2 linked regions of the Drosophila melanogaster genome follow. The protein of the gene in region 1 binds, or shares a complex with, the protein of each later gene. Each region holds a gene or a part of one and is shown in the gene's direction. Other genes may lie near its edges.

What was found. Proteins that work in one complex are often made in the same cells at the same time.
Region 2: the proteins of ave (region 1) and cnk are in contact, whole or in part, in a crystal structure (PDB 8BW8), measured with the Drosophila melanogaster proteins. Residues at the interface, in NP_725413.1 of Drosophila melanogaster: Tyr24 (codon at 2,233), Gln51 (codon at 2,314), His52 (codon at 2,520), Asp53 (codon at 2,523), Ile54 (codon at 2,526), Arg57 (codon at 2,535), Ala58 (codon at 2,538), Arg61 (codon at 2,547), Ile62 (codon at 2,550), Thr63 (codon at 2,553), Ser66 (codon at 2,562), Arg69 (codon at 2,571), Met70 (codon at 2,574), Glu79 (codon at 2,601), Trp82 (codon at 2,610), Arg83 (codon at 2,613), Val86 (codon at 2,622), Lys87 (codon at 2,625), Arg89 (codon at 2,631), Leu90 (codon at 2,634), Lys91 (codon at 2,637), Asp93 (codon at 2,643), Ile94 (codon at 2,646), Glu96 (codon at 2,652), Ile97 (codon at 2,655), Arg98 (codon at 2,658), Met100 (codon at 2,664), Glu101 (codon at 2,667), Leu103 (codon at 2,673), Asn104 (codon at 2,676); in NP_001286524.1 of Drosophila melanogaster: Pro47 (codon at 2,918), Glu51 (codon at 2,930), Leu56 (codon at 2,945), Arg57 (codon at 2,948), Ile58 (codon at 2,951), Gly59 (codon at 2,954), His60 (codon at 2,957), Gln61 (codon at 2,960), Glu62 (codon at 2,963), Leu65 (codon at 2,972), Glu66 (codon at 2,975), Glu69 (codon at 2,984), Lys110 (codon at 3,166), Ile111 (codon at 3,169), Asp112 (codon at 3,172), Thr113 (codon at 3,175), Leu116 (codon at 3,184), His117 (codon at 3,187), Ile119 (codon at 3,193), Thr120 (codon at 3,196), Arg121 (codon at 3,199), Ile123 (codon at 3,205), Lys127 (codon at 3,217), Val130 (codon at 3,226), Glu134 (codon at 3,238), Arg139 (codon at 3,253), Arg145 (codon at 3,271), Cys148 (codon at 3,280), Gly149 (codon at 3,283), Leu152 (codon at 3,292).

The regions. Positions count from the first base shown.
Region 1 is NT_033778.4:14,750,427-14,753,889, forward strand, and holds ave (aveugle), read left to right. Parts: upstream 1-2,094; 5' UTR 2,095-2,163; coding exon 2,164-2,316; intron 2,317-2,366; coding exon of another isoform or gene 2,367-2,410; exon of another isoform or gene 2,411-2,484; intron 2,485-2,519; coding exon 2,520-2,687; 3' UTR 2,688-2,843; downstream 2,844-3,463. Other genes in the region: Rpn6 (regulatory particle non-ATPase 6), read right to left, coding at 60-290, 357-569, 719-1,225, 1,290-1,614, 2,367-2,410; CG10151 (uncharacterized protein), read right to left, coding at 3,046-3,463. UniProt on the Drosophila melanogaster protein: Required for normal photoreceptor differentiation between Ras and Raf for EGFR signaling in the eye and for mitogen-activated protein kinase phosphorylation. Probably acts together with Cnk to promote Raf activation, perhaps by recruiting an activating kinase.
Region 2 is NT_033778.4:17,414,008-17,422,084, reverse strand, and holds the start of cnk (connector enhancer of ksr), read left to right. Parts: upstream 1-2,077; 5' UTR 2,078-2,616; coding exon 2,617-2,674; intron 2,675-2,837; coding exon 2,838-3,001; intron 3,002-3,060; coding exon 3,061-7,512; 3' UTR 7,513-8,077. Other genes in the region: l(2)k01209 (lethal (2) k01209), read right to left, coding at 139-398.

The DNA.
Region 1 (3,463 bases):
AAAGTCTGCTAAGTATGCTGATATCATGTTTGAGTTGAATAATGTCTCCTGCACACCGCTTACGACAGCTTCTTAGCCTTCTGGTACAGTGTGTCCACCACCTTACCCATACTTTGTATGGTTTCCAGCACGCGTTCATAGGTCTTGTCCACGGGCGTCTCTTCGAAAACAATCAGTACTCCCTCACCCTGATCCAGAATGCCGCTGAACTTTTTGTCCAGGATCATTTGGGACAGCTTCTTTTCCACCTGCGGCATGGGCAGCTGAATGCTCTCGGCAACATGGGCGACCTGCCAATAGGAAAAAAACAGATTTTAGTGAGGGCAAACAAGCCAAGACGTTATAATCTATCTCACCTGCACACGAGAGTAGGGTTCAATGATGCGGCACAAGTTTTGCTCCAACATGGTGTCGTATAACGTGCCCAAATGCGCCTGCACAATCACATCCTCGGCGAGCTCCTTTTTGTATTCCTTGAGGGCAGCCTGGAAGTCGGCCAGGGAACGTTTGTGTGAAGCCTCAGCCACTGATTTCATAGCATCTATATCGCGGCCCGAATAGGTAATAGCCTGGTAATGACAATTATATTTGTAAGATAAATTGATTAAATCTACACAACAATTTGGTTGTTAGATAATAATTCATTTACATAATATGTATATGTAGAACATTACAACTGCTGACGCAAACTTATTTCGGACTGCACTTAATAACTTACCAGCTTTCCACTGACGAGCTGGTTGACATCATCGGACTGTCCCAACATGATTTTGCACAGCAACATGTATTTAAGCGAGGTCAAGGCCTTGACGCTGTCCACGCTGTCGAATCCTTCAAAGGCCTCGTAGAAATAGGAGAATGCGGTCTTAAAGTCACGCTCATCAGCCGCATGTAGGATGCCGGACTGAAGATCCAGTGCGCCTTGCACCTTTGGCGGACAGTAGATAGCATTGGCCGTGGTGCGGGCTGAGGTGAGGGCGGCCCTAGCCTTGGGCAGGTTGCTCAGTGCGTGATAGGTTTTGCTCTCCAGCAGCTGCACTTCCACCAGCAGATTCTTGTCATCCAGCTTTTTCAGCTCGCGCAGCAATTGGGCACCCAGAGCCAAGGCCTCCGTGTACAAAGCAGTATCAAAATATAAGGCAATCAGACGAGCTTCCAGCGATTGGCGAAGAAATGTGCGCTTCTCCTGTTTGGCCCACTCAATGCAGTCTTTACACAATTGAACCTAGAGATCGAACAAAGAATTTTCTAGTAAATTCTAGTAGTCAATGAGTGAAAAAAGAACCCACCTCAATGCCTGTGCCCGCGTCCATGTCCAGGAACATGTCCACCAGCGAACGCACCAGCTTGGCCGCCTTGGCCTTGCTGATCGAGCTGAGGAACGGACGCGTCACCTTGATGAGATCGGCCAGCTCCTTGGCCTTGCCCTCCTGCTTGTAGAGCTCGCCCTGCTGCAGAATGCCCTGCTCCTTGATTCGGATGCGCTCCTCATCGTTCTCGGCGCCCTCCTGGTCGCGGACCAGTTTGTTCAGCAGCGAACTATCCTGCTCCTCGCGATTCACGCTGGACAATGCCTGGGCACGCTCGAAAAGTGTTGCTCCGGCCATCTTGCGACTTGAAATTTGTGTTCGGACGAGACGAGATGAGATGTGGGGGCGCTCAACTCAAAAATTTACTAATCAATCAATCAACTAAGCTTGTCTCAACTCAGCTACTAGCAATGCGACAATTTTTTCTTTGTGTTCGATCGTTTCCGGTGTGTATTGATTGCGTATTTACGTGTTTAATGCTGACTTTTTCACCTTTCGGTCGTTGTTATTAAGCGCCAGTCACGATTAGAGCTGGTGCGATTTCGATATGCGAGTCTTAGCGGGCATCGATAGGCCACGAATGTCGTACTAGTGCTTGTTGTCGATATATCGCACACAACTCGTGAATTTCTTAGGATATCGTTTATACCTTTGATTTAAATCAGTCGGATTAGGGAACTTATCGGCCGATTGTGTCACCCCTAATTTACATTTTTTTATATTTACATTACAGTAATACAACTGTAATCGATATCTTGTCTCACACCTAATTAATATCGCCTAGCTACCATCACTATTTGTTTTGTTGCTATTTGCAAATAAATCTTAAATTTCTCGATTTGTTTTTTGTGAAATGGGTGAAGAAACTATTAACTCAACGCAAAACAAAACCAGAACGAAAACTACGCGACCGAAGGCAGTGTACCTGTGGACAGTTAGCGATGTGCTCAAGTGGTATCGCCGCCACTGCGGTGAATACACCCAGTATGAGCAGCTCTTCGCCCAGGTGAGTTGAGCCCACAATCCAAATCGTAGTCCTTGATCTACTTCACTTACCGTCGAGCCTCGTTGGAACGGTTTTCCTTCAGCAGTTCCGTCATTTCAGCACCTCAAAACACAAACAGGAAAATTCCCGGTTACCTTTTGCTAAAATTTAGACATCACTATAACTGCCTACTGATCTTGTTTAATTTCTTTCCATGTACACAGCACGATATAACCGGAAGGGCTCTACTCCGGATCACAGACTCCTCACTGCAAAGAATGGGCGTGACGGACAACCGGGATCGGGAAGCCATTTGGCGGGAGATCGTTAAGCAGCGACTGAAGACGGATATCATGGAAATCCGGGATATGGAAAGGCTCAATATTTACTAGGGTCACGATATACTCGTTTTATTTGCTGTAATAGGAGAATAGTTAATGCGTATTTTGTAAACTTTCTTTTTAAGATTCTTAGACGCCATATCTGGTTTTAGATTAGACAATCATGTATGCTATTAATCAAATATATAAGAGCGCAAAATTCTAGATTAAATTTAAATATTGACTAATTATTGCTTATTGCCCATCATTTTAAATATGAAAATAACCCTAGAATGAGAGATTTCTTTGGTTTTTATTATTAGGATACTGGTTTTAGAGTCTACTAAAGTAAAGACCAGAATATCATTTCTTTGAGATCACTTAAGTGTGTTTCTAATATCAATCACTTATAACGACTAGTTCCTCTTAATCAGATCTCCTTTTCCAGCTTGGGCGAAATCAACTGGACGTCGTTATCTACCGGCTTGGGGGCCACACTGGCTACTAGGCCCACTCCTGATCCGGCCACTGCCACGCCGCTGTTGCAACTTGAAGTGGTAATCACTTTTGGCAGCGAATTGGATGTTAGGATGTGCGGCATGGTGACGGTGCCATTGCCCATTGGCAGAGCAGTTGTGAAGAGCAGCTTGGGCGGCTGAAGACGTTGAGCCGTGGAGCATGGCGAGGCTGCAGGTGGCGGCTGCATGAGACTTGGCAACAGGTTTAACAGACGCTCGCCCATAGACTTCTCCCAGTCCAGGCGCTCGCGTTCCAGGGATAAACGATTGTGTTGGATCTCGTTGGCTTCGTTTTGCGAGTTCAGCAACTGACGAAGAAGGATTCTCATT
Region 2 (8,077 bases), 2.7 Mb from region 1:
ACTCAAATACAAACACACACACACAAATATGCCTCTCTACAAATGAATGTACAAACATACATATATGAACGTCTGGTATGTAAAATGGGACTTCGATTGGTTTTTACGTTAAGAAATGGGGAAAATGCAATGAATTACATGTGACCATTGGTTTTGGCTGCTATAGCCTTAACCTTTGACTGCTGATGATGCTGTTGTTGTTGTTGCTGCTGCTGTTGATGTGGTTGCTGAAGTAGCTGTTGCTGCTGGTGGTTTGCGATGGTTAGTAAACCGGCGGATGCGGCTGCAAATGCTGAGTTCGCTTTTGCCCCTTTTGGAACATCGTTATTGCTACTATTAATGCTGTTGTTGTTGGTGTTGTGGCCCGACTTGCTGCACAAAAACGTGATGCTGCTCATTTTTAGCCCGATCCCGATCTGCCAGCGATTTTGAATCACTCAGTCCGTCGGCGTGGGCGTGAGAACTTGGATGTGGAGGCAGCAAGAACACAGCAACCGGCGATGCCAAGCCAAAATGGGTCACTCACTCACACAACGCTCACGCGAATCGCCGCCGGCGTGGATCACATGTGATTTAGAGTTTTTATTTCGTACGCAGCGATTCACCTTTTGCGTTGCGGCCAATATTTATTCGATAACTAATGAAAACAAAAAATTAAGCCAAAGGTGTAGCGAGAAGTGCGAGGTGAGCGGCGTTTGGGGATTGAATGACAAGAAAAAGTGTTAAGGCAGCTAAGGTTAAAAAGCTGCGCTGCGCTGCGGTTTCCTCTGCCGGCGTCGTCTCTGCATTGTTGTTGTCGCAAGCCTTCATAGAGGTGGGCATGTGGTACATGAGGTTTGGCGTGACACGACTCAGTCGAAGATGTGCTCTACATTTTAGCCAAATTTGCATAACAAATGTCTCTTTTACTTTTGTTAAGTGAAGGATATTTAATTTGTTAGAGAAAAAAATATTCTAATTTTTAGGCGCATAAAATCATAAAATATTTCACGCTACATATACTTATACACAAGTAATTTTTTATAGCATTCCACGGATCGCACCAAAGTTATTTTAATAATGTTTCTGTGGTATGAATATTATTTTTTCAAACTGCAACATTACAAGTTACTCGCTGACGCGCCCATCCCTAGCTTGTAACTGTTCTCGCAGGGTGTTCGCTTTGCCTTCTCTCTCACACTCTCTTCCGATCCGATGCAACCGGCGACTATATCGAAATTGAATTTATCACATGTTATGCGTTTGCACATGTAGTGGTGTTTGCGAACGCAGGCCCTATGCCATTTTCCCAGCATTTATTTATATTGCGTGATTAGAGGCCCCACGACGCACACATGTAAGTAGGTACGTACGTACATACGATGAATGACTTGGAGCACATGCTCTTTAGATATGTTTGTGCGCGGGTGTGTGTGTGAGTGTGTATCACATTCTAATGACTTCTGTTGGATTTTCACACTTTACTTTTGGCCGTGCGTGAATTAATGCGGCATTAAAAAGTCGTTCGTTACCTGTCGGAGCTAGCGGAACTCGATGGGTTGTAGAACTTGATTTGTTTCGTCTGGGTCACAGACATTTCGACAAGAGAATAGTGATTGCAGCAGCCAGTTGCAGCGATTAGAAAAAAACACGCGGTGATTTACTTCGTCGTGCCTCTCCCTCTCCGAGCAAGTGACTGATTCGTTTCTGAAGGCATTGCGTTGGAAAAACGTGCGCCGCCTTCGTATACATACATATGTATACATCTACCCGAGCTTGAATGGTCAAGTAAAGTGCTAATTGTCAGCTGGGGAAAGGCACTGGAGCGGAGGGACGCTCATTGCCTTGTTTATCTCCATTTGATGCTGTCATTGAGGCATTTATTTATATGTTTTGGGGCAATTCAATTCCATTCGCAAGGCGCTCAGCTGTTTGATTGGGGCGGCGACAGTGTTGCGAAGCGCTGTTGGCTGTTGGGTTGCAGTAAATTCGAATGTGAATGGCTAAATCCGAAGCGGGGTTTTTAAATGTTTGATAATTATTACTTCGAGCTTGTGTCAATATAAGTGAATATTTTACATAAAACTTTGTGGTTTCTAAAAGATTAGCTTACAACATGATCTTTAGGTACTAACAAATAAAAGGTTGTAAATAGCGGTAGTGCTCGGAAAATATATCAACATGAGACAATTACCAATTCGATTATTTTTTGTTGGTCCTCTATCGATAACTGTTACTCTTACTCTCTTGCACTGCAAGCCAAATTCATATTAATTAAGACTATAAAAATAAACACATACAGAAACATGTGGCTGTTTCCTGGCTATCTTGGATGGAGAAAGTAGTATGTAGTAGTATCATAATTTATAGTTTTCTTTCCTCTTGTTCTGTCCCTTAAAGAAACTTTGAATAAATTGCATTTTGTTCAGTTTTAAAATGCATTAAATAATCGATTGCCACGCTAGTTCGATAGTATTTAACGAGCACCGAGTATTGTTCGAGCTCTAAAAGATGGTCACTCCGGACCAGAGAGACGCAACAATATAGCAATTCTGAACTTGGTTCGAGTGTTTTTGCAGCACGAATTGATAATATGCCGTAGGTGCGGCCCAGCGCGGATCATCAGCAGCAGCAGCGATGGCCTACATCAACATCGCCGAGTGGACGCCCGACCAGGTCACCGACTGGATAAAAGGTAATGCTCGAGGTCAAGGAAAGCGCAGCTGAGAAAAAAAAAACTGCATCTCGCAGCCACTGCCCCAAAAAGCAGCAGCAACAACAAGTGCAACAAGAATTTCCGCTTTGTTCAAGGTTTCAACAGGCACATCATAATAATTATGTTTTCCTGATTCTCGCAGGTCTGGATGAGTCTATGAAGGGGTATTTGTACGAGTTCTCCAAGCAGGAGATCGGCGGACGGGCGTTGCTCAACATACGGCCATACGAGCTGGAGAATCTGGGCATGCTGCGCATTGGCCATCAGGAGATCGTGCTGGAGGCGGTGGAGAACTTAAGAAACTTCGTGAGACCCCAAACAAATATTGTGACATACAAACCCGTTAATTGAGCTTGATATTCCAGCATTATCACCTGAAAAACGACAATCTGCAGTTCATGGCCTTGCATGTGGCCACGGCAGCTAAGAATCTGCATCGCGAACTGGCCAGGAATCATGCGGAGAGCACTAAGATCGATACCCGGATACTGCACGATATTACCAGGACGATAGCTACTCTAAAGCCATTGGTGGGCAGCCTGGAGCGAACACCGTTCCGTAAGCAGGAGATGTACCGCGAGTATTGTGGCAATGTGCTCAAATGCGGCCTGGAGCTGGCCACAATTGCCCACCGTGATCGTTTTGCCCTGCAGCCGGTGCCAGCGATTCGACAGTCAGCGGAACGGCTCGAGAATCTTGCCAACTTTGTAATCCAGGACATATCTGATCCCATGGTACTGCAGCCAGCCTCTCTGAACCTTGTCACCCTTAAAAAACGCGAATCCGAGTTGGGTTTCAACATAGAGTCCAGTTATAATGGCATTCACCGTGTCACGGATATCAAGTACAACTCGCCAGCTCACAATTCCGGAAAAATCGAAGATGGCGACGAGATTGTGCAGATCAACTACCAGACCGTTGTGGGCTGGCAGCATCGCACAGTACTGGAGCATCTGAGGGAAGCACTTCCAGATGTGGTGCTGACGGTGAAGAAACGGCCGAAGCACACAAAGATGTTTGGACAGATCTATATGCAGCCGTACAGGTTGCCCAGCAAGAAGAGGAATATGGCCGCCCGCTGGGCGGCACAGATGCCAAGTCCCCGTGCTGCATTTTTAACCCTGGACACGGAGCAACTGGCAACAGGAGGAACAGGAAGCGCGGTGCCAGATCCCAGTAAATCCCTAAGCAGTGAGAAGAGGGAGGTACTTACCAAGGCCAATCCAGTGTCCTCTGCCTCCGACTCTGATTCCAGTTGCAGTGATATTCCAACACCAACGGATCCCAAGCTAGCCGCACGGGAGATCCGTTTGTATTACCCAAAGCCAAGAGCTTTGCTCCAACGAAGAAACACTATTTGTGGATGCGAGTATCTTAGCCTGAAAAACTCGGATCTAGTCGTTCCATCGTGGCACGAAAGAAAGCCAGGAATTGGTTCGCCCACCAATTGCGACCCTGGCTCGCCCAGTATACGGGATAAGTCGATATCCTTCGGTTATGGCCTAGAGATGGCAGCAAGGCCGACCACTTGCATTGGGATTGCGGGCGATACCTCCACGGACAAGGCCAGGCGAATGTTTCATGAGGCGCGAAAACTAAAGCAGCTGACGGAGGACTCGCAGCGCGAATTCCTCGTGGATCGTTACAAGCCGGGTGTCAGCAAAGTAGTTCGGTTCGACGCCAAGGAAGATTATGTGATGAAGAATGAAAAATTTATCTGTAACGTTGAGAACACCATACTGGAGACCTTTGAACCGATTCCCTTTGCGGATGAGGGAGACGAGGACGCCTTGGAAACGCTGCGCAACTGCAAAACAGAAAACGCAGAGGAGCTCCTAGAGGCAATTAATCTGGCTACAAAAGGTCAGGACTTGCCCCTGGCCGAGGCCATTAACATGCCTTTGTTGCAGCAAGGTCGAAGGGGCCGATTAGACAAGAGTCATAGTACTCCGGCATACGATAATTCGGGTGAAGAATCGGATACGCCGCCAGCGATTGAGCCAAGAAAGGAGTTCCTGCTTGTCACACCGCCAGCACCGCCACCGCGACCCCGCAAGCAAAGGGAAATGACGCCACCGGCGGTGCCTCCACCTCCACCAAAACCAGCCAGCATGCAGCCGGCTAGTAGTATCACCAGTATCTCCATTCCCGTGCCAGTACCTGTACCAGCCGCAGTTGATCCATCGGAGATCAGTGAGCTTCATACGCCCAGCAAATCCCGGACACTGACCCTTAAAAAGAAGCACAGCTTAATGGCCAAGCGGCGGAACACAAATCTCAAGCTGTTGGGGACTGGGGATATCCAAGGTCATCTGTACAGGCGCAAGAAAAATCATCGCGGAGTGACTTACTGGGCGAGAATCTATTTCGTGATGCTGGATACGATACTGTACGGATTTCGCAGTAAGCAGAGTACCAGCGCCAGCTTGGTAATATTTTTACCGGGCTTTACGGTTTCATTGGCAAAAGAAGTGCACTCCAAACCGCATGCCTTTAAAGTTTACCACACGGCCAAGAGCTTCTACTTTGCGGCCGAGTCGCTGGACGCACTTAACCAATGGGTGGACTTCTTGCGCCAGGCTTCGCTCAAAGTGCCGCCTAGTACGGGTTCAAAAGGCGGTGGTGACGCAAAGGATTTGTATTCGGAGAACGATAGCTCAGGCGAGGAATGCGATGCCCTTGTGATCCAGAATTTAAGCACGCCCTCGCCGCAAGGCAACAAGGAGTCAATGTCCATGTCGATGACACTATCTGGCGGAACACCACCTTCCTCTGCACCCATTAAGCATGAACGCGGCTACTTGGACTCGTTTCGCAAATTTACGAATACATTCAAGAGCAGTGCAGCGAAACCGTCGAGCGACATCCCTGTGCCAACGGAGCAATACCGCAGCTATAGGAAGGTGCCAGGCGGAAGTTTTGGCATTCAGATTGGTGCCAATACACCGGGCTACCATGATCCCGCAATGCCGCCGACACAGATTCCACCTTTGGTGGGTCCTAAACTGTCGCGTAGCTCAAGTAGGAGTTCGGTGGTCAGTGGAACCGAGTCTGCCGTATCATTATCTGCTTCGATTCTGGGTCCGCCCGCGTCGCCAGCGCCAACGCCCACGCCTACAGCCACTCCCACATCGCTGCAGCATCAGAGCTCCGAGGAGAGTCCAAGTCAGAGCCAGAGCCAGAGTCCCAGTAGCAAGTCGAGTTTGAAGAAGGCACCATTCAACTTCTTGCACGCCTCAAATCCGAATTTGGTGGAATTCGATTTCCATACCTCGAAAACACTACTCCCCAAGATGAGTGTGGGTAATACACTCGACCATGGCCATAATATACAGGGCTTTGTGACGCTTAAGGATCTGATGCTGCGCAAACAGGAGGAGGAGGCCCAGGAAATGTACAACAATCGAGTGCACTTGGGTGTGGAGAAGCACAAGCACGCACGGACGGAATCCACGGCCAGTCAGCAGAGCGCCATGAGCAGCAGCGTGACAAAGCCGCTGGAAAAGTTGCCCAAGATCCAGAGCGTGAGTCTGCCCAAAACACCCGACTACGAGATCAGTTTTAAGCCTGACGACGAGAGTATTAAGAGAACCAGAACTAAGGAAGGTCAGAAGTTGCGCGACTTTGGTTACGAGCTGATATGTGGGGATGAGCCGAGCACTAGCTCCATCAGCCGGCAAGAGCACCACCATCATCATCATCATCACCAGCACCACCTGCAGCATGTGCAACAGCAGCAGCAGCTACAACATCAGCAGACGCAGCAGCAACATAGCAGCAAGGCCAAGCACTTCTTGCGCTCACAGCAGTTACAGCTCTCCAGTTTCCTGCACAAGAACAGCAGCGGCGGCAGCGGCAAGAGTTCCGGATCCGGTGCGGATCAAAAGAAGTCCAAAGGAAAGTCTAGCGGCGATCGTCGGTTTCCCTTTTCCAAGCACTCAACTGGCTCCGCGGGCAGTGGCTGTGGGCCGGGTCATGCGATGACTATGACGCTGCCGCTGAACAAGAAGTCCAAATCGAATCACGCCTTGGATGGAGCCGTAGGCAATGGAGTCACCATAATCGGCAGCGGCAGCAGCATCAAGAAAAGCCAGACGTACAATCAGGATCTGCGAGACAAGATAGTGGGCACCAAGTACGATGCGCATCGCAAGAACTCGGCCCCGATACCAATCTTTTCGAAACTCTCCATATCGGGTGGCACGCCGGCGAAGCCCTCCAAGGAGAATCGTTTCCTGGGCTCACCGCTGCTGCATCGCACGCTGTTCGGGCACCATCACCATCAGCAGCAGGCAGTAACGCCACCAAGCAGTGCGGATCCCGATTGCGATCAGGAGATCTTCTCCCAAATCACCCTGCCCACGCACAATCAGGCGGGATATCGAAGTTACCGTGGACCTGGCATACTAACCACCTCGACCACTAATTTGTGCTCGTCGGAGGGCTTGCAGCCGCCGTTGCCCCCAGCGCCACCGCCTCCCGTCAACACCAGCAGGCAGAGAGAGGAGGAGCAAGCGGAGGCAACGATATCAGAGTGTGCGGCCACCCCAAAAGTGTCCAGTTCGGGATCTGTGGATTCGAAGGCGGCAACGCCGGACTATCCAAATATGGAGTGTCCGCCTGTCTTTGAGCCGGAAATCTACTCGCTCAGCGATACCAGCTTGTCCCGCATCGTGATGCGGACGCCCAGCAGCAGTGGTGCCACCAGTGCCACCGCCAGCACCACCACCACCAACAACAACAACAACAATAATAACACCAATAACAACACCAACACCAACAGCAGTCCCAGTGGCGGCGAACACCATCAGACCTAGATGTGTGATGAAAACTATTGTGAATGCTCGCGGGGATTAGCCCCCGTTTACTTATGTATTTATACACACGCATATAGATATATATATATATATTATATATAGCGATATTCTCGTACGATTTAGGTATACAACTTGTTCATTTTGATCGTCTTCCCTGTCTGTCCACCAGAAACAAACACACGCATACCTGCAATCCCTTCGATTCGAAACCCACTTAGATGTAAATGTTTAATCTGCCTTATTTGCATTGTATTTCGGTTCTAGGCAAAATGTTTTACACATGTAGTCACGCAAGCAAAACAATGAATTATAGCGAAAATGGAGAATAACTTTAGAAGTCTGTGCATCGAACAAAGACGGTTCTTTATGATTTGCCTTTGTACGCGATTAACCAAGTTAATCCGAGCTGTTTGATTTGCTCAACAGTTTGTGTCTAGATTGCGTGTAATATACATATATTATTATGCGAAATGAGATATTATTGTAATGGCATCCAGCGACGCCAATGGAGCCAGAAATGTTGTAGCGGAATGCAAGAAATATATATATACACAATTACACGAAA